4 linked regions of the Oryzias latipes genome follow. The protein of the gene in region 4 purifies or fractionates together with the protein of the main gene of each other region. This does not show direct contact. Links are inferred from orthologs where the notes say so. Each region holds a gene or a part of one and is shown on either strand. Other genes may lie near its edges. The genes, in order: map3k7, ras-related C3 botulinum toxin substrate 1, siva1 and E3 ubiquitin-protein ligase XIAP.

Region 1 (4,959 bases), on a different chromosome or scaffold from region 4:
GTATTACTAATAAATACTTTAATAATAGATGCAGAAATTACAATGTGCTGTTTCAAATTCAGTGTCACATTTTATTCTGCACTTTTGAAGATGCAACAACAGGTAAACTGACATCACCATCGCTGTCATGACAGTACAAATAAGTAAAGAAAACGGATGGAAATTTATCTTTGTGACACCAAATAGGTGCAGCCAAGATGCACAACAAGCGTGTTTGAGATCACCCAGGTGAACTCAACGCTGCGCAGATCACCTGGTGTGTGACATATATTTGTTTTTGCTCCAACATTAACTGTCAATCATCGCAAAAATATCGCGAGAAAGGGGTGGGGCAAGGGGCAAACCTACCCAGACACAGCTGAAAACTGAACTGACTGAAAGCTGCCCTACAGACTACAAAACAATGCATTATGGGACATGTGTCCTGATGGTTTTTGTAGTGGAGGGATTAATTAAAATAATTTAAAATACCAATTCATTAAAAAAGGCTACATACATTACAAAACATTCAAATAATCATAAAATATATAATAACACAGATCATACTAAGGGGGAGAAGAATATTAAATCTAAATTGAATGTTAAGGACAGCTCCAATTTCCTGTTCTCCTTCAGTCTTGCTGCAGATTCGCTTTCATCTCACAGCCCCCCCCCGCCTGGTCTCCCCAACGATCCAGGCGAGGTGCTGGTTCATCTCAAACACGTCTATCGTTGCATTTTCCCCACGTATTTTCAGTGTGTCTAAAACTAATGTTGTTTTTGCTCGAGCGTGTTTAAAGTTCAAGCCCCGTTAGCTGTCACGCATGTACGTCGGGGGCATTTATTCTCCTCAGCTGACCCGACTCCCGCGGGACGGGAGCGGTGTGCTGCCGTAACCCGTATGATGCGCCGCCGTAACCGTAACCAAAACCTAAACCTTCCTCCGGATCTGTGTGACCCAGAGAAAAGTTCAGCACGGACTGCATGTATTTAGAAAATTACGAGCGAATAGATACGTTCTAGAAAGGAAAGTAAAGAACTCCTTAATGTGGTCCGGGGAGGGGGCTGTCAGGTTTCCTGCTTGCAAAACCCTGTCATTGCCACGCCCCCAAGAGTCATATACCCCACTGTGATTGGTTGGTCAGCTCTAGGCCCCTCCCCCTACACGCATTTTAGCCACTCACAGTGACTTTTCCTATTCTTCTCAGACGCAGTGGCCGCCTAACACACAGGCATCACGCGAGAGTGTTCGTGCTTGCGTTTCATGAGTATGTGCGCGAGTGTGTGTGCCTGCCTGCGTGCGTGTGCGCTCGCGTCTCATTGATTATTTCATAGATCATTGACGTGCCCCTTCCACGTTTAATGTATAAAAAAATACGAAGGGTGGGGGAGGCAAATTTACTGCTCGCACATGTGCGACTGGATGTAAAATTTAGTCGCACACTCTCAAATTTTGGTCGCAAAATGCGACCAATTGCTCGCAGTCTGGAGCCCTGAATCCTACAAATATTTAGAAGGAGATATGAAACAAGAACATTTGTAACAAGTTACTTTGATTATTATCTCAACCATAGGTCTTAAACTATGTTCATGAAAAATCTATGGAAATGTGCGTTTCTGCGTTCTGCGTTCAAAACTTGTGCATTTGCACGCAGCTCAAATGTTTCTACGACCGGTTTTGGGCTCATCATACAAAACACGTGGCCATTGAACAAGCGCTGAAAACTAAACTAGGTTGAATTTGTCAGACGTGGTAGTAACCTATGTATGGGGACTTTTCAGTTTCTTGAATTTTCAGTTTAAAAATTGATCATGGAGGATAAATTAATATTTGCTGGAGTGAAACTAAGCCAAATCTTTCATATATTGGAATAGAGCTGTGAAAGAAAAAGCCTGGAGGAAGAGTCAGGACATTTGCTCCGCTTCTACATTCCACATCAAGCCTCTTCCAACTGTAGGTGGTGGACAAGTGTTAGTAAAAAAAAGAGAAAACGATAAAGAAGAAGCCCCTCCCTGCTTGTCCAATGTGAAAACCCACATTTTCACATGCCTGGTGTGTCCAGAGCTTTAAGCATTTAGTGCAGGGGTCCCCAAATCCAGACCTCTCCTACATGTTTTCTAACCAACCTGCCATTGAAGCTCCATATTGGCTAAACAAGGTATCAAGGTAGTCAGCAGCAAATAAGGCAGGGTTTCTGGAAAACCAGCAGGACACCGGCCCTCACGGTCTGGATTTGGGGGCCACTGATTTGGTGGATGAAGTCCTCCGATTCAATTCAATTCAATTCAATTTTATTTGTATAGCCCAAAATCACAACAACAGTCGTCTCGATGGGCTTAAGTGAAACATGAACTCAAAAGGATCACGAATACAAAGAGTTCAATAGCAAAATACTAAAATGAACTAACAAACTGACTAAACTATACTGGCATCCCTGCCCTTAGACCCCCCTTCGCGGTAAGGAAAAACTCCCAAAAAACCGGATTCCGGAAAAACGAAGAAACCTCAGGGGTGTCCACATGAAGGAGGGATCCTCCCCCAGGACGGACAGGCGATTTACCAGAACTCAAAGAGAAGAATTTACTTATCTAAATCTACAACTACACATTTAAAGTCCAGCAGACGAGCTTCATCCAGCCGACGGCGGATCCCCTACAGAGTTTTTATTCAGAAGAAAAGGGGACTTTCCAAAGTCTCAGGAAGTCTCATGGCGGTTTGTTTGTGTCTTGAGCAGGAAGGAGCTCATCGCTGAACTGGACCAAGACGAGAAGGACCAGCAGAACACGTCCCGTCTGGTGCAGGAGCACAAGAAGCTGCTGGAGGAGAACAAGAGTCTGTCCACCTACTACCAGAAGTGCAAGAAGCAGCTGGAGCTGATCCGGGTGCAGCAGCAGAAGAGGCAGGGCACTTCCTGATGAAACGGAGACACGCCCACTCCCCTCCCCCCTGCACTCTCAACACTACCCCCCCCCCCCGGCCTGGCTCCATCCAGAGCCCCTCCAGGAAGACTTCTCAAAGGAGTTTGCACTTCCTCACAGCCTCTCTGGGACGTGAAGTTCACATGAAAACCAGTTCCCCACCATCCTCACAGCCCCTCCTGGTTTAACCGCCCTGTAGATTTTTGTGTGTAGATGTTTTATCCCTGAATCTGCTGGAGGATCTGCTCAGCTCTCCTTTTAGTTCACATGTTGCCTTAGCGGTCGGCTGAAGTTCAGGTCGGATCATGTCTGACAGAGGAGCTACGGAGACTTTCCTTCTTCATACCCGACGGAGGTGACGACATTCTTTTAGATGATCATCATGTTTCTCACCAGCTTTAGATCCAACTCTGTTGTTTTTGCACAGTTACTACGTTTAGACGACTTTTATTGCTATTTAAACTTTTTGGTTTTAAAAGAAAACTTGAGGAGTCTGGACTGTACGGCCCGGTTGGTGACCTGGCGTTGGCGCTCCTCCGCCTGCGAGCGCATCGTAGGCGATGGAGGTGCGGACTGACTGCAGCCGAGGCTCACCTGTGGGGTGAATGTCCTGCTGCTCCCACACCGCGTGAATGTTTCAGGTTCAGACAGGGTTCGGTCTGAGCCAAAGACGCTGCATCCCCCAGCTGTTGGCCCCGCCCCCATCTTCTGGACGTGACCTGGATGCTGGGATCAGACGTGTGGTTCTTTGCATTACAAGATGTGATCCTGGTGTGTTTAGTGTGAATAAAAGCAGCATAGAGGTGCATTCAAGCTCTGCTCAGCTGCACTGTAAAGCCCAGTTCTGTACATTTTTGCTGATTCAAAAGCTGTTTCTGCTTCATGAACGCTGAAGTTTGGCCTTTTGTCTTGATCCTCCACATGTCCTCAGCAATAGAGAAGTGAAATGTTCTGCACACGTGCAAAGATGACAACTATGTAGGAAGACTAGCGCCACCATGTGGGAGTCCTAAACCTTTAACAGCTGTTGGTCGGTGGAAAAGGATGTTTCATCACTTAATTCTTCAATCCCTGTGTTTGTAGAGCTCTTCTCATCAACAGGCCTTAGTCCACAAGGTGCTAAACACAAAGGATGTATAGAAAAATGACAAAACCTACAAGCAACAACAACCAAAAGAGCAACAGCAAATAGAAGGAAAGCTGTGGCTAATAGAGATAAACCAGAAAATTTTCAAGGCAAAATAAGAAATGTTGAACATTCCTGACAGTCCCACAAATCTCCTTAGTCAGTTGTTGGAATTCCTTTTCAGAATATAGATGGCTGTTCAATTCTGCTAACTTTTCTTTAAAATGCTATGCAAATGAGGTGGGAGGGGCCTCACAGCGTGTCAAGAGAACAGAGGTGCATCCCCAAAACCAGCAGATGATGCAGGAAAGGCTGTGATTGGCCTCCAGCGGTTGAGTAGGGATCGGACAATAGGTGGCAGTGCTACTGAGTCTGACACTATGACAGAACTATCAGGTTACAACAGTGGAGACTTTTGGTCGGGTCTTCTAAATCTGAAATCCTTTGCTCTGATTTTCTTCGGTTTAACCTTTTAGTGCCCAAATCTTTGAAACGGCAGCAAGTCATAAAACTCCAGCTGCAGTTTTTGCATCATTGTTCAAAATGTTTTTTTTTTATTGTTTTATTTATTTATTTTTTTTTTTTAACTTGTCCTGTCCAACAGCTAGGCAAACAGATGAGAGCTGAGGGCCTCTTGTGTTGGACATATTTTATTTTAACAAGAGGGGTTATTCATCTTCAGACAAACCAAAGGTATGTCTGAATAAACCCCTTTTGTAATTGAGGCCAAACTTTATTAATTTCAATCATGTTTGAAAATCTTTGGTGTTGGACCGGACGGAAAAGGAAAGAGGGGAAGAAGAGAGAGGGACGTTAGAGAGAGGGGGGGGTAGGAGGGTGATAATAGGAGGGGAAGGGGGGTAAGACCATGAAGCAGCATAGAGCAGACAGGTTTACTGGTTGTTTATCGTTACGGTACGGTTCAAATGTAGTAC
Region 2 (5,805 bases), on a different chromosome or scaffold from region 4:
TCCGCACATCATGACCACCTTTGACCGGCAAAGGCAGCACATCTCTGTGAGGCGAACTGATGAGGAGAGAAGAAGACACGTCACTTTACTGCATTGAGACACCAGCTTGATGATAATGATGGTATTTTATTTCGGACGCATACTTTAAAAGGAAAAGTAGGGGAAGATTAAAAAAAGAAATATTTGATGCAACCAATATACACTCATATAACTACACATAAACAAATATATTAATAGAAACATACACGCAGGGGAAAATCTGACCCACATTTGGCATGATTAAACCCCAACACATCCAAGTGGATCCCTGCTGGATTCAAATTTATAGTTTGGTTGTGTTTTGTATATATACATCTCTATCAATAATAACATTTCTATAGTTAGTCCTAAACTTCTATCTGTTTGGACATTGTTCCAAATTTAAACTTCTGTTCCAAGTTTGATTGTAAGAAATCACTGTCAGCCCATCTTGAGCATGGGAGGTCTTACCGTTCACTTCTTAAAGTCCAAAGGTTTGCATTAAAGACTCAATGGATTTCTATATGGACCTGTAAAAAGACAAAAACGTCACATTTTCCATTTTGCACATTCAAAGGACAAGGAAAAAAGCTGATATACTACATTTCTGTGGTATAAAAGTATCAATTATTGCTAATATTTCATATTTAAGATTGAAAAAATCTATTTTGTTGTTTCCCCTGACTGATTACACATTACAGACTACTGTTTTTTATTTTAGATCAGATACAAACACTAAATATGGGTGAATATGAACTTGTTTCACTATTGATCAAATGTCAGTAAATTATTTTTCCGATTAACAGATGATTTTCATGAACCCAGTTTTATGGGACAGCACGTAGTAGAGATTATATATCAATTTAACCTGGGATTAACTGACTATAAGAACAAAGGTTCCCTATCGAGGCCCCCCAACAGCTGTTGTTGGCATGGTGACAAGCTCACCGTGACCGTCAGTCTGAAAATAGTGTGTAAACATTTACCTGTAATCTGACGTTAAACACCATTGAGGCTACCAAGTAAAAGTAGGGGAATCGTATTCTCAGCCGCCATGCGAGATCAAAAAATATCAACAAAGTCCTCGTCAAGCCTTTGGAGAATAGTCCGTAAGTCCGACCAGCGGAGCCCGAAAACCGGAGCACCAGATACGAAAGACTCGCCATAAAAGCCCAACCCTGAGCGCTGTGTTCTTGGCTTACAAAGGCAACAGGCAAGGGGACGCTACAATGGCTGCAAGTGTTGGATGAAGCTCCATTCTTCTATCTTTCACCCTCAACGAGCTCCGTCTTTTGCTGCCGTTGTACTGGCATCTACTCCACCCTGTTAGTTTTCTACCGAGGACAGACATCGCTGCGACACACGGAAGTGCAGTAAAACCAGGATTAAATAAAACCCCGAGTAAAGACTGAAAGGACTTCCAGATCTGGGTGGTGGCTAAGGAAAAAAAAAACACGTCCTAGACACAACTACTATGGTTCTCATAAAACTAAACAAACAGAAACATAGAAGAGGTTTTTTGAGTTACTAAATATGTATATATGTTGTTTTTGCACCATTACAAAACCAGGTAAATTGGTTTGTTTTCCAGAAGTTCACTACACAAAAAATCTTGAACTGAAGCAAAGTACTACAGACTTTTTGGAAATACAATGACCAACTAATCATTGATTGTGTTACATTTTTGAAGCTAAATATCTTTGTCGTATTAGAATAGGCACACATTGACTTTTTTTTTCTTTTACTACTTTATTTTTTAATACAGTGCATGTTTGCTGGTATGGTATAATTGAATTTATCGTGGTGTAGGGGTGGGAGAGCAAGCTATCCTTCCATCTCCAAAAAAACTTTTTCAGCCTGAAAGGCATAATTCAGGGAAATTAAACAACACACCAAAAATTCCATTGTAATCGTAAATGAACCGTAGACGCGTCAAAACTGACGTCAGTTCCACCCTAGGTGTCACACCGTAAATATTCCGTCTTCGACGATTTCTTTTATTTTGTTTTCATTAAACCAAAATGTAATATTTTAGTTTTCAAATGTTATTTATATATAACTTTAAGCTTTATATTTAAGACCAGAGTAGCTGACCCTTTTTTTTACTACTAGTTTGAGGCTATCTTTTCTTTGGTTAAGGTGTCTGTGGGCGTGCGCCGGATGCCCTATCTTGTAGAGCTGGCTTCATTTTTTTTTCTCTTTAGCTATAGGGGTGGTGGCCGCTGTTTTGCTCCATAACTCATAGAGCAGCTCACGAAAGCATGGGAATGTTGCCAGGGAATTTCTGAGTTTAGTTGACCTAAAGTCCGAATTGAGTCGCCGCAACTTTATTTTCTAACAAGCCGTTCTCCGTTTAGAAAGTTTTGAGTTAGCGCGGTCGACTGTTAGCAAAGACTGTTGGGTAGTTTCACTTGAGAGGAGTTGCGGACAAAGGACAAGCTATCCGAGCTAACGTTAACTGGCTCTGGGCTAACTTAGCATTCCTGTAGCTGCGGCGCAATGCAGGCCATAAAGTGTGTCGTTGTTGGAGACGGGTAAGTTGAACCTAACTAAACTCACTGTGATATTTAACATTTAATCGACAGTTTTGGTATCAAACCCTGAAACCGCCAGTGATGTCGAAAAGTTGTCATTCGACATAAATGTTGCGTCTTATTTTTGGAGTTGTAAAGTTAGCCAAGTTATCGGTTAAATATTGGACTTTCAAGTTCTTTTCTTTTTTTTTCGAAATGTACAACATTTTGTATTGCATTTGTTTTTCCCCTGATATTACCGTTCTGGATCCAATGTTCCAGATTTTTTTATTTATTTACGCCAAAATCAGTGAATAGAGTTAGATTGATCTTAGATTTGTTTTGAAGTTATTTTTGAACAAAATGGGCAAAAATTATATGTACTTTTTCGAAGAGTTGAAATTTGTTTCTTCTTCTGTTGTATTGACACGGGCGTGTTTTTGTGTTACACAATAGTTAAATTAGTAGGTTTAGTTTGCAATATTTTAAAGACAGGATTGTCAATGAGCTAATATTGAAAGTCTGACTGATGTGTAATATGCTAGAGGTAAACACACTTGTAACGTCTTGTCGAGGGTGCGGCTGGTCCCACCGCAGCGGAGTCGTCCCTCGACCTCTCCGACTTTTGTTTTGTTTTCCGTTCCGACTTGAAGAAACTCTAAGGCACCAGTTCTCTTTAAAGTTTCAAAAGTTTAAAATATCTGCTTACTCATCAACTAGCCTGGAAGAGAAAAAAAAACCTTATTTCCTGAAATCAGTGCACTCATTCTATCAGGAGTGCTTCAATAAAACTGACATTACCTACGAGATGATAATAAATGATTAACTGGCAATTATTGATTTTTGATATTGGATTATTTTGATCCTGCTTTTATCCTACGGATGATAATGTGACTCTCAGACTTCCTCCTTTCAGTTTGTTAAAAACCAAACTTTGCGTAGTGTCCACATTTAACTTGAAACTATATTTTTAATGGTTGTAATTATTTCAAGTAACTTTGATGTTATTAAATAAAATGCTTGGACTGTTTTTAGCTTTGTAAATGTAAAATAATCGAACAACTTAAGCCTGACTTTAATGACAGCTTGTATATGTTTTATTTTCCTGAATTCTGAACATAACATTTCTCTTATTCAGTGCTGTGGGTAAGACATGTCTACTCATCAGCTACACCACCAATGCCTTTCCAGGAGAGTACATCCCCACAGTGTGAGTGTTTATTTATTCATAATGGCTAAGCTGTCTGTCATTCTTCTTCTGGACAGTTGTTGCTTAACTGTGTCTTTGTTTCATTTCTTCAACTGGTCTTATGGGGGAATATTAGTTTCCTTGTACATAAGAAGTCACTTTCTTTTTTAACAGGCAGCTGTTTGGGTTCAGAGAAGCATTTGTTATGTAAAATTACCAGAAGTGCAACCAGCTAGTTTATTTTCTTAGTTGTGGGATCTGTGGCTTTTTGGGAATTTGTCACTCAAAACACTTTGGTTCATTCTGATTATTTATAAATGTACATTCTGCTTTTATTCTGATTCAAGAACAAGCTGAAAACATGTACTGCTGATGAACAAGGCTTTGATTTTTGACCCCCAAAAAACCTGTTTGATTTATCTAATGATCATAGAAATTCAGAAATATGTAGCAAGGCTTGAATGACATAACTGAGTTTTTATGAATGCTTGATTCTCACAGGTTTGATAACTACTCTGCCAATGTTATGGTGGATGGGAAGCCGGTGAACCTGGGCCTTTGGGATACAGCTGGACAAGAAGACTACGACAGACTCCGCCCACTTTCTTACCCACAGACGGTACAATGACAAAAATAGTCAGACAAGGTGTTATTTAGTTGATAACTTTTATAAATAATTAATTGGGAGCATTTGTGGTATTCAAATGTAGAAGAGGGTTTTAAAGAAAGTTAAACAGACCACCTTAGCGATAGGTTATTTATTTTTATTTATTTTTTGCTCAACAGGAAATGAATTTCATGGACTCTGAACCTTTTTTGTCTTTGTCTTACAGGATGTGTTCCTCATCTGCTTCTCTCTTGTGAGTCCGGCCTCATTTGAAAACGTCCGTGCCAAGGTTAGTGGTGCCTGAGCAAAAAACACTAATAATACAGATGTGAACACGTTGACTTTTTTAATGTTGGTAATTAAAATACAGACCTGTGTTTTTTCATATACAGTTTATTTTTATTTTTTTGTAAAAAAAAAAAAAGTGTATTTAAAGAACAATTTCAAGAGATGTGTACTATTGATTGGCTTTTTATGTAGAAAACTGGCCCAAAACACATACATTTTATTCATATCTAAGGCTACATTTTTACTATTCCCCAATCTTCTTACTTTTTGTGTTTCTTACACTTTTTTGTTAAATATTTAAAACATCCAGCATTAACAGTAAAGTTGGATCCCAATTAAAGACACCAGCATAGCCGCGAGCATCATGGCTCTTATGTTTTGGAGAGATAGAAACGCACAGGAAACTGCACTTTCCCGAGTGGCGTAGTTTTTGTTTATCTTTCACAAAACAGGAGTGCTGCTTTTTAAGCTTATTAAGGGGGGGTAAAAAACTTTTTATCCTTAAATTGTTGCAGTTATGCAATCGGAAATATCTTTTTGTTAAAATGATTTTGTGTTTTTGTGTAGTGGTACCCAGAGGTGAGACACCACTGTCCCAACACTCCCATTATCCTGGTGGGCACCAAGTTGGATCTAAGAGATGACAAGGAAACTACGGAGAAGCTGAAGGAGAAGAAACTCTCCCCCATCACTTATCCCCAAGGTCTAGCTATGGCCAAAGAGATCGGTAGGAGTGTTTTCTCATCCTGCATGTTTTGGATGAATTTGTTGAAATAAAAGGGATCAGAAAAGAACCACTTTCTTTAGGGGACTCAAAGGCTCCTCTTGTCTTTTTTTTCTTCCTCAGGTTCTGTCAAGTACCTGGAATGCTCAGCCCTGACTCAGCGTGGCCTTAAAACGGTCTTCGATGAGGCTATTCGGGCCGTCCTGTGCCCCCCACCTGCAAAGAAGAAGAGCAAGAAGTGTTCTCTCCTTTGAGACGTCCTGCAGCACAGCAGTTAGAGGGGATGTGACTCCTAGTGGGGAGCGCGGCTGCATTCACAGGAGAAACACACTAGTATGTAAAAACAATGTGCTTCAGATTCTTTCCTTCCATAAGTGTAATTACAGCTGTTTTAATGAAAAAAAAATCAACCTAGATGTAGGAGAGGGGTTTGGACTTCAGAGAACCCTTGATAATTGTATACTGT
Region 3 (4,915 bases), on a different chromosome or scaffold from region 4:
TTGGTAACTAGCCTGCATATAAGGTGCAACTAAGCTGTAAAAATGTTTGTTTAACAAAGCTTTTGTTTTGTGAGCTGCTGCTAGTTTTAGCATCTTGTAGAGAGAAACACTTCTCGCGCTAAACGGTCTGTTTCAGGTGTTGAAATGAATTTGTTGTACTCCCACTTTTAATAGCAACAGCCTTCAAATGCATTGTGCAGCATGCGTTTTGTGCTCAAAGTCTTAAGCCACAAAACCGAGACAGTTCCATATAAATGAAGAAACTGTGACTGTTTTGGGAACAAGCCTCTCTTTAGTTGTGCATCTGCGTGCAGCGAGAAGCGGGCATGCTGACCTTGCTCCGAGCAACGGAAGCCCTAGAAAGCAGAGTGCTGGGAAAATAAAATCCAGAATTTCCCAAGAACTAATCTTCTTAAATAACAAATTCGACTTTATCAATAAAAATCGATTTCTTGTCCAACCCCAATTGAGAAAAGTACTCAAACACAATTTTAAGCTCACTTTTCCTTAAATATTTTCCCCATCATGAGAAAAACATGTTTTGTAATTAGATGGATCTTTGAAGCAGTATCATATTGCCTCCCATTTTTATTTCTGCTTATGTTTAATATCCTGCCATCACAATAACCTGCAGCTGGTAGTTAAGTCATTTACTTTTTGTTGCTCTATCACCTTAGCTTCATAGAAAAGTGACCCTTAAAAGCTATTAAACTTTTTGTTGACATATGACAAAGTTTTTTCTATAGCAGTCGTTCTTTTCAATGTTAGTTTATTTTCTGTCAGCTTGAGTCTCTGCCTTTTTGCCCTTATTTGTACGCTTAAAGCCGGTGACCTAACAGTTTCTAATAGTGTTGTAGAATCTAGAGGCCTTCTTTTTAATCGTTTGATGGTTCCAGTTTTGCACGCTACTGCCTCCTTGTGGCTAGAGTTACACATTACCACCTGGAGTAGGTAACGGGTTCGTAGTTTTAACATACAGGATCGAAGCTGCTCCGGTTCTTTGTTGTTACTTTAAGATTTTTTACATGTTTTTTTTTTCATCGTTGATTAATTAAATTAATCATTTTTTCATCTTAAACTGGGATTTAGACATTTTTAGTTTGATTAGCTAAATTCTTGGGTTTAAAAAAAAAATTAATGTCCACCAAAACAAGAACATGTTTTAATTCTTTTTCCCTGTGCAGATGTTTTAATTGTTTGACAAAAGCTTAAACTTCTTGGGTTTTAGGCCCCTTGGATCACATTAACCCTTGTGCTGTTCTAGGCACTTTAACATTGGGAGTTGGGTCATCTAGACCCACTAGACAGTGCACTGAACCTTTTTTCTTCAATGATTTGTGATCTTCTCTGGTGTCCATGGATTACATGAAATCCTCTTCACCTTTATCCACCTTTGTCATGGTAGGAGGAACACGTCAATGTAAGGGTGGGGTCATCCAAGATAGCACGAGGGTTCAAAGGATTTGGTTCACTTAATACTTTCCACCAGCAGGTGGCAGAGTTCATACAAGTTTGCCCACCTTATCAGACTAACTTCACTGCTTTGCTAAAGGCTCATGTTTGTGACTTGTCCAGGTAACCCAGTGGGTCCCACAGGTTGCTGTGTGTGTCAGAAGAGCCAGGGACCCAGGACGCCGTGTTCTCAGTGTGATCGACTGGCGTGTTCATCCTGTGTCCGACAGTGCTCCAACTGCTGCAGCTTATGCTGCTCTGTCTGCACCATCTTAGAGTAAGTTGAAAACTTGAAACTAAACTCTGTTCACCCGTCTCTATACAAAAGCCCGTTAAACTTTGATTGAAAGCCTCTTTACAGTTATTGTGCCTCATTGTTGTAACAAATGTTCATTTTAATCAAAAATCTATTAAGTAAAAAGCAATTTGTTTCTGCAAGTCTGCCACTCCTAAATTACTGTCATATTGATATTCACCTGTTGACTCCTGCTGATTAAATGACAGCCAGAGTGTTTTTCAAAGCCTTAAAGAGCCACTAGATTATTCTTATCATGCGATCAAAAATTGGGCCCAATCATGTCGTTTCAGACTTGATCGGAATTGAATGTTGAATCCCGATCATAATCAGATATTCATTTTATCCTCATTATTATGATCAGTGCCATATATTGGAATCTTATTACAACAGATATATTTTCTGCGCTTGGCCCATGTTCACAATGTTTTCTAGTGCATGTCTGCCCCCTTCATTGAAAGAGGCTTGGTGTGAAATGTCAATGGTGCAAATCTGGTGAATCTTGCTCCAGGCTTTTTCCTTCACAGCTCTGTTCCGATACACGAAAGACCTGGTGTCATAGAATTCCTGCTTCCTTAAAACACAAATATTCATTTCTCTTCCATGGTCATTTTTCATACAGTCGGCCTCTTCTGTGAATGAAAAGGGACGCCAACGATACTTCACTTTTACATCTAAGGCCCTGATTGCTCAACGTTTGACCTGGTTTAACTTTCAACGCTCGTTCATTTGCTACACATGTTTTTTACATGGAGGCTAAAAACGGCCGTAGAAACTTGCACAGCGATGCGTGAACGCCAGGGTCATGAACTTCATTGGAACTGGCCGCTTGAACCTGAGTTGCAGAGTGTGGTGTGAACGTAGCTTTAAGATCATTGGATGTTGGTTGGAAAAGCTCGTGAATGTAAACGATCCTTCAGGTTTGGTTCAAAGACTTACAAATATGTTTCTGTCAATATAAGTAAACCCCTGATTGATTTGAAATGAAACCTAAAGAAGGTTGCTTTAACTTTAATGCATTTCCATTAAAAATGAACCAGGACAGTGTTTTTTCTTTTGGTTTTATCCTAAATAATGCATGTTGGAGATTCTATTTACTTATGGAGTTTAGTCATATTGGTTGACGTCAAATCCTTCGATCTGTCAAACCGTTGGTGCTCACTCACAGCTGCCACGACATGAAACATGCAGTAAAAACCAAAATCAGCAATAACTAATAATTAACTCATAATTACTCAAATGAACACAGTTTTCCATTTTTATTAAGAATAAATAGAATTTCTTTAAACAACTGGTCCTCCCATCCTATTTTAAGATTTAGGTATCTTGATCAATCTTCCTGTCTTCCCTTAAGGGTATTGTTTTATTTCTGTTTTTTTCCATAATTTTCTTTTGACTACAACATTTCTTGAATCCAAACTAAAGAGGATGAAGCTTCACACAGGAGGAAGCATACTTTAGAAGCTGAAAGTGGGACTCTTCGCTTTCAGTCAACTGTAGTTAAAGTTTTTTGTTGTTTTTATACATTCCTAATCATAAATCACATTGAATTAATGAAGAGGCTGTTTGAATCATAACGTGAGGAATCTTTCATGTGTTGCAGTTACAGCGGGCGGTACGATGAAGTACTCTGCTGCGGCTGCTCTACGTAAAGGAAGACCAAAGGCTGGAACACAAATGTATATTTAAACACTGTAATTGCATTAATTGATATTTTATACCCTTTTTTTCTTAATTCATGTTTATGTAAATATTGTCATTTGAAGGTTTGATTGAATAAACTTGAACCCTTTTTAGAAACGTTTTTGTGATTGTGGTTTTGTATTGTCTATTTTACCTTTTAATAGACACACAAATATAGAAAAAGGAGCTCAACATGGAGCTAGAAGGTTTGGGATGACTGCACAGCGGCAGGAGGTCGCGCCCTCCATACTCGGTGGAGGAATAAACCACCCAAACTTAGAAAGTATTCCTAATCCACTCCTTGAATGTACCAAAGAACAACATCTGACTCCTTGTATTCTGACTGACACTGATAATCAAATTGCAGCTTGTCCACACTGACCTTGTACATCTACTATCAAATGTATTTCAAATAAAACAAGTGCTGAGCGGTAAAGCAGGCTGCAGTCATCCCTGCTGGACGTGACCTTTGGGTGGAGTCATCTCTTTCAGTTGGCTGCTGCTCATCGCAGACGACGATCCGTTTCAGGGTCAGATGCTGAACGCTCTGAGTAATAGTTCTTCATGGCAAAGGTCCACAACGGGACTTTAGAAAAGTCTCGTCTTGTGACACTGTTATGGATACGGGCTGGGATGAGTGAGTGCATGTGAGCTTTTTAGTCACATCGGCTGCTCAGCGGCCCAGTTGTGGCCCCCGTCTTTTGGGAGCTCTTGCAGTTGGTGGCCCAGGGCACCGCTTGATTTCTGCTTGAGTGAGCAGACAGCTGCTGGCAAAGGGTGGCGTCAGGTTGTCTGCACATTACCCGATAAGACTCATGAATACGGAATACTTGAAAGAAAAACATTTATTGTTGAAGTCTGAACAGTTGATGTCATGGCCGCAAGAAACGCCGCGACTGATGCTGATCAGATGGAAGAAATCACAGTTCCTGCAACTTCTCATTTAGTCTTCGACCAAGCGCCCGTCTCTTCTCCTTACAGAGCTTTGAAGAAAACAGAGTTGTCAGGCTTTTCCGTGCATATTTATCCATGCAACTTAAAGGTCATGTTGTACTTTTCTTGCCAAGAATGCTCCTCAACTCCCCCTTGCTACATGTGTGTCTGTAGGGGGGTGGGGGGTGCAGATAATCACCCACGGCGCTCCAGACAGCACCAACTGCAGCAAGCCAGCAGGAGCACGTGGCTTTGTCTTTCACCCATTCTCTTGGGGACCAGCTGTGGTCTGAGTGCGGCGAGCATCAAGTCCAGTGATGCTGCTGCTATTAATATGCATCAATGAGTGTGAGTAAGTGACAGCTGTACAGTGGACCAAGGACACACTGCCTTGGCACAGTCGGGGCCAACCTGTCCAAAAAAGGCAAACCCAGTGTGAGAGCTAAGATAAGTTGATATGGATTTATGCTCCAGCGGTAGTCTGATTTTGGGTTGTCCCGTGGAACTTCAAATCTGCCCTAATGTGGGGTGGGTGGGGGGGGGAGTGGCAGG
Region 4 (5,571 bases):
ATTTCTTAAATGAGGGGAAATAATATGCCTTACCTGTTGTGAGTATTTAGGTTCTTGTAGCTGAATTGTATTAACAAACTCTTGGCCTTTTTCTGATAAAAGAAAGCTGCATCTAAAATGGAATTTAAAAAAAAGGATGTAAGATACATACATAAATACACTTACATCCCTTGTGCTATCCTAGGCACGTTAACGTTGGGAGTTGGGTCATCTAGACCCACTAGACAGTGAGCTGAACCTTTTTTCTTCAATGATTTGTGATCTTCACTGGTGTCTATGGATTACATGAAATCTTTCCACCTTTGTCCACCTTTGTCATGTAGGGAGAACACGTCAATGGCCATCTTGACCCCATAGGATAGCACAAGGGTTATACGAATACATAATCCTTCTTTTATGGGAAAAAGCAAAGCTGGAGGTTTTTACCCAGGATAATATTTGGCATGTTCTTCCCAAGGATTGTCCTCAGGGTCCCAATCTTTCAAACCACCACCACATCTGAAACAGATCACTTCGTCTCCTTCTCCTAGAATAATAATAAAAAAATATTATGAACAAACATTTAGATTTAGAAAAATTAAAATATTACCGGTACATCTCATTTGTAAAGGGGATGTTTGAACAAACATGCTTTACCTTTGCTGTAGAAGCCAGCTTTAGCAAGCAGCTCGTGGTCAATCGGGTGCTGGACGCGTGCAAAAGTGCCGAGTCGCTCGTCAAGATTTTCCAAATTGACAGGTGTGCGATGTTGGTTTCTGCTGCCAGTCTCTTCATTTTCTCCTCCATCTCTTTCCAGAGGCACATTTCCCACGTCATGACCAAGGATGTAGAAGCAGTGGGAAAAATGTTTTTCATGCTCGTTCCAGGGGGTGTCCCCAGGTTTCCAGCCACTTAGCTTGCCTCCACAACTGAAACACTCCACTTTATCCTCCTTTCCTAAGTAGAACAAACCTGCCTGAGCCAAATCTCGAGGTCTGACTGGAGCAGAACGCGGCCACGAAGAGAAAGTTTCCAGGCGGGCTTCTTCGCTTTTCATATTCCGGTTCCGTGGATATGGAGTCTCATCAACAATGGCTCTTGTTCTCAACTGGTAATCTATATATCCTTCAGTTCCATCATGAAGGCCCCCATTGCTGAGGGGCATATGGGGATTTGACTTAAAACGGTTGAAGTGTGTGCAGCGGAGAAACGTGCACGATGGGGAAACCTGCATGGAAGGAAAATGTTGAACTTTATTATTTAAAAAGTTGAAAAAGAATTGCCCAACATTTCTAAACTATTTTTTTTTTCAACATAAACAATTACCTGTATGTGTCTGTCCACTGGTTGATCTTCCTGGGACCAGTTTTCTACCGTTTTCTGGCAACTGAAGCAGCGTACGCGGTCAGAGACTCCAGTGAAGAGGAAGCCAGCTTCAGCCAGTTGCAGCGGTGACACCTTCTTGCTCCAGCTGGAGTTGTAGAAAGATTCCAGACGATTGTTTATCTTAGAGTAATCAATTGTGGAGTCCGATTCCCAATTCCCATCTTGGCTGGGGTCACACATCATTGAAACAAGTAGCTGTGGCGGTAAACACAAAATCTAAAAGAAAAGAAACATGAAAAAGGTTTGAGTTAGAAGTGTAGAACCTTGAATAATAGATCATGGGGGAATCTCTTTTTTTTTACTTAAAGACCTACTCCGATCATCTTTTGAGCCATTTTTAAAGTGTTCCCAGGGGTCTTCTAATTACCACTATGCCATTTTTGTCCAAAAAAGTGCCCAGATTTTTCTGCAGAGCAGCAGTAGATCATTAGAAATTCGCCTCTGAGTTGTTGGCTGGACTGTTGGCATGGAGCAACGCCGCTTCTCTCCATGTTGCCGAGGGCTCTCTGTTGCCATGTTCTCCTGCTAGCTTCAGTCCTCCTCAGTCATTCAGATTTGTCAAAAATATAAAGTATTCTGGAAGTTAACCAGCTTCCCTATCTTTATGTCCACCTTTGACATCACATCGTGCTAATAAACATTGCATCAGCACGCCTGTGTTTCATGCAATTCTTATTCATGACACATACTAAAGGTGTGATGACTTTTATTCAAGCCTAGTCACCTCCCAGAGGAAATTATTTGTCAAAAACAGAAAGTAGAAGTCAAATATCTTTCAGTTGGACATTTTTTGAGAGTGTGTGTAGATAGAATGGTATGGAATGTCCATTCCATTCATAGTCATAATCTGTCCACATAGCTAGGCTCTTTAAAGTTCTTTTAAGCCGGTAACTCAGGAAACCAGATGGATATCAGTTGAAAAAATGAATGTTTTAGTGAAGGCACAAGGGATGGGCACGAGGGCGGCTCCTGTAGTTAACTTATATGCCAAAGGGTGTAGCAGATGTACTGTTCACCATTCTTAAAGAGCTAATCAGATCATTGATTCATCAAAACACAATGTTGGAACACTGTTAATAGGTTTCAGCGATCTGCCACATATGTTTGTTAGATTATCCAGAAATGTACTAGCAGCACAGTCAAAAACAATCACTGTTTTCTACAGGAGGTTGAGACTCTTGTGTGATATTGTTGCCACACATTAGGACAGTCATATGCTGCATTACTCCTTCTGACAAACACGCTGTACGTGGAACTATTTGGTGCACATTTAGCTGTGACATGGGATTTTATCTGCTGGTGGTGGAGGACTGCATGTGATCTTTGCACTGTCACGTTTTTCTGCCTCAGTGATCAAGTGATCAAATCAAAAGCTAACGGCCATATTTACTACAGTAAATATGCTGTCGCAAAGACAGTTTTGCTGTCTTTGCGACAGCAAAACTGAAATTAACATCTCTAACCGCCCAGTGAGCGACAAATGCGTATGCCGTCATTGTTGTGTTTCTACGAACTATCAACTGCATACTTTGCTCTGTTCACAAAGATTCCACCCACATCATTTAAAGGGCTACACATCACGGATTAAAAATTAATATAAAAGAAAAAAGACAACTGCTGGTGTTTTACAGTGGATAAAGGAATCTTACATAAGGAGTCAAATTATTATTTAAAAGTGCGTACCTTTGCTGTAACTATAGTTTGTTTACATTTCATGTAACATTTGACTAGCTAGCTAGTTAGCCTTGTTCGCTAAGCGCGCGATTACTTTACCAGCGGCTCTAAAAACATAAAATACTTGCATTTCTTTGCTCGTGTAGGGAGGTCTTCGGTTCGTGGTTTGAAAAGGTCCTTGATGAGATCGCCCTGTGAAGGAAATCGGCGTAGAAGAATTCCTTTGGCGTGACCTCCCAAAGTCAGGAAGTAAGAACAGCGTAGTCTTTGACAATGCGCATGCGCATCGTCGATTACGCAAAGAAAGTGGGGGTTCAATGAGAAGATTCCAGAGGTTCTGTTTCAGTTTCGTTATGGAAAAAAATATAAAACATTGTCACTTAAACAGAAAAATTTCAACATGCTTAACAGCTCAAGCCCGAAGATGTTATTGCTAAAGAAAGATATGTTTTTGTAACTTATGCAGTATGTGTTGAAACGTAGATTTGAAAAAAAAAAGAGAGAGAAAAAAAACCACGCAGTCCCGAAAAGCGACTTTTAAGCAAATCTCTAGGTTTTTTTTTTCTTCCCAGGGGGGGTTTCCCTTACAAATATGCTGTTTAAAATCAGTAAAATACACTGTCGACAAAAGAAACTAAATGAGTAAAAAACATTTATAAATGTGTCCCTTATGTCTCAAAGCAAATGCGACATTTATATGATTAATTTATTCAAATTTAGCTTTTTTTCTGTTTTTCAACGTTTGGAGCAAGAATACAAAATGCCACATATTTTGAAGTGGGTTTTAGTCTATGCTTTTATTATGAAGGATGCAGTTTTCTTTAAGATCACACTTTAACTTCTGAAAAGTTGGTGGGACAGTGGTTCAAATTTCAGTGTGTTCTGAGTCATTTTAAGTTCAGCCGGCTGTGAGGCTGCCCTGTCAGACACGCAGCATCCAAACTATACAACTTTAGATATATTTACATTTGGTCACATGAAATAAAAAATAAAACATTTTAAACAGCTTCCAAAACATAACCAATGTGGAATAGGGGAATAGTATTAGGCAGAAGTCATAAATAGGGTTTTAATAAACATCCATTTGTTCAAACAAATCTTCAGTGACATTTCTTTGGTTAAAAAAAATACAGAAAAGTACAGGTAAACCACTAGAAAAAAAGTTGAAGCCACCAAACACAATTTGATGAATTCACTTCAAGAAGCAGTGAAAAAGGGAAAGTACGAAGTTTCTGTGCAGTTTGGTAAGAAACCCCCATGCTGAGTGAGACTTGCTGTTTAGGTGACAAGGCAAGCATCCAACTTCCCCTTATTTGATGTGGGTTAATGGGGAATTACATGGTATAAATTAAACACTCTTTTCACACCCCCGCAAGTTTCTCACCCAAGCTTGGGTCCTCTACTAGAGGCCTGGGAGCTTGAGGGTTCTGTGCAGTATCTTTCCTAGGACTGAACCTTTCTGGACTGAGATGTTTCTCCAGGGATCTGCTTTAGCCACTCTTCTGGTCATTTCTAACATTACAGCCACTCCTCCACCTTAGGGGTTACTGTCCTGAGTGATCGGATAACCACAGGCACCACCGTCAAATTAACCTTAAAGCTTTCTCCAGTTCTTCCAGACTTTCCTCTTTTCTTTGTCCACCTCTACAGTGTCTGGTTGGTTCTCCATGACCATCTTGTCAGTTTGGATCTGGGAGTCCCACAGGATCTTAGCTCTCTCATTCTCTGCCACTTTTAGAGGTGCTTTCCCATTTGTGACCTTGGGGTTTCCACTCCAAATTCTGCACAGATGTACCTGTAGGCTCCAGTCATTTGGTTGCGATATCAGTAGAACATCCCATGGTCCTCCCAAGATAAAATGTATCGCATCCTCTGCTTTCCATTGCTTGGGGCATTCACAGGACACACTGTCGGTTGGAGCCTTGTGCTTCTATTCGTGGATCTTGGATGTTTCATCCTGGATAGTAACTCTAACGCTCAATAGGCCTCAGCCGGCTTCACCTCCTGGCCTCTTTCCCCATTTCTTTATCCAACACAAAAATCAAGACAACCATGGACAACCTTTCTTTTCATCATATTTTATTTTGATCTGACAAAAACAAAAACGGTCACACAATTGGAAAATTTTTATTTTCTTTTATTATTTAAAAAAAAAGGGGGTTCTAAAGGAAAAAAGATGTGATTGAGTGCCCTCCATTCTTGTCATGAAATCCAAAATGCCCAGTTCTAGAGTGGTTTGCTCCATTTTTCTATCACAATGAGGCAACCTACAGAGATGAACACATCAACCACATGTCAGTTATGAATTCAAATATTTCCCTTTCACACACCTAACCTGTCTGAGTGGGATACCATACATTTCTCGTAAAAACAAAATGCGGAACGTGTAGGCGAAACCAAACAGTGAAACTAAAATTACTGAATGAAACGGCTGGCATGTAGTATGCCATCTCCCAACACCCCATGTAAATGCAAAAAAAAAAAAAACTTTCACTTCTTTTTTTTTTTTTTACAGTATTTGGGTTTGTACTG

The links.
Region 1: the proteins of E3 ubiquitin-protein ligase XIAP (region 4) and map3k7 purify together in Homo sapiens (affinity purification with western blotting; 3 studies listed by BioGRID). This does not show direct contact. The link is inferred for Oryzias latipes from reciprocal best matches to the Homo sapiens genes XIAP and MAP3K7.
Region 2: the proteins of E3 ubiquitin-protein ligase XIAP (region 4) and ras-related C3 botulinum toxin substrate 1 purify together in Homo sapiens (affinity purification with western blotting; 3 studies listed by BioGRID and IntAct, with this or other methods). This does not show direct contact. The link is inferred for Oryzias latipes from reciprocal best matches to the Homo sapiens genes XIAP and RAC1.
Region 3: the proteins of E3 ubiquitin-protein ligase XIAP (region 4) and siva1 purify together in Homo sapiens (affinity purification with western blotting; 3 studies listed by BioGRID). This does not show direct contact. The link is inferred for Oryzias latipes from reciprocal best matches to the Homo sapiens genes XIAP and SIVA1.

What each region holds. Positions count from the first base shown.
Region 1 is NC_019882.2:20,574,281-20,579,239, reverse strand, and holds the end of map3k7 (mitogen-activated protein kinase kinase kinase 7), read left to right. Parts: intron 1-2,714; coding exon 2,715-2,895; 3' UTR 2,896-3,785; downstream 3,786-4,959. UniProt on the Homo sapiens protein: Serine/threonine kinase which acts as an essential component of the MAP kinase signal transduction pathway. Plays an important role in the cascades of cellular responses evoked by changes in the environment.
Region 2 is NC_019866.2:11,731,802-11,737,606, reverse strand, and holds the start of ras-related C3 botulinum toxin substrate 1, read left to right. Parts: upstream 1-1,969; 5' UTR 1,970-2,517; coding exon 2,518-2,552; intron 2,553-3,669; coding exon 3,670-3,741; intron 3,742-4,221; coding exon 4,222-4,339; intron 4,340-4,553; coding exon 4,554-4,616; intron 4,617-5,182; coding exon 5,183-5,342; intron 5,343-5,462; coding exon 5,463-5,593; 3' UTR 5,594-5,805. UniProt on the Homo sapiens protein: Plasma membrane-associated small GTPase which cycles between active GTP-bound and inactive GDP-bound states.
Region 3 is NC_019880.2:14,647,387-14,652,301, forward strand, and holds the end of siva1 (apoptosis regulatory protein Siva), read left to right. Parts: intron 1-1,575; coding exon 1,576-1,729; intron 1,730-3,350; coding exon 3,351-3,399; 3' UTR 3,400-3,551; downstream 3,552-4,915. UniProt on the Homo sapiens protein: Induces CD27-mediated apoptosis. Inhibits BCL2L1 isoform Bcl-x(L) anti-apoptotic activity. Inhibits activation of NF-kappa-B and promotes T-cell receptor-mediated apoptosis.
Region 4 is NC_019868.2:22,021,849-22,027,419, reverse strand, and holds the start of E3 ubiquitin-protein ligase XIAP, read right to left. Parts: upstream 3,319-5,571; 5' UTR 3,168-3,318; intron 1,582-3,167; 5' UTR 1,549-1,581; coding exon 1,306-1,548; intron 1,208-1,305; coding exon 637-1,207; intron 527-636; coding exon 427-526; intron 113-426; coding exon 34-112; intron 1-33. Other genes in the region: E3 ubiquitin-protein ligase XIAP, read right to left, coding at 5,292-5,306.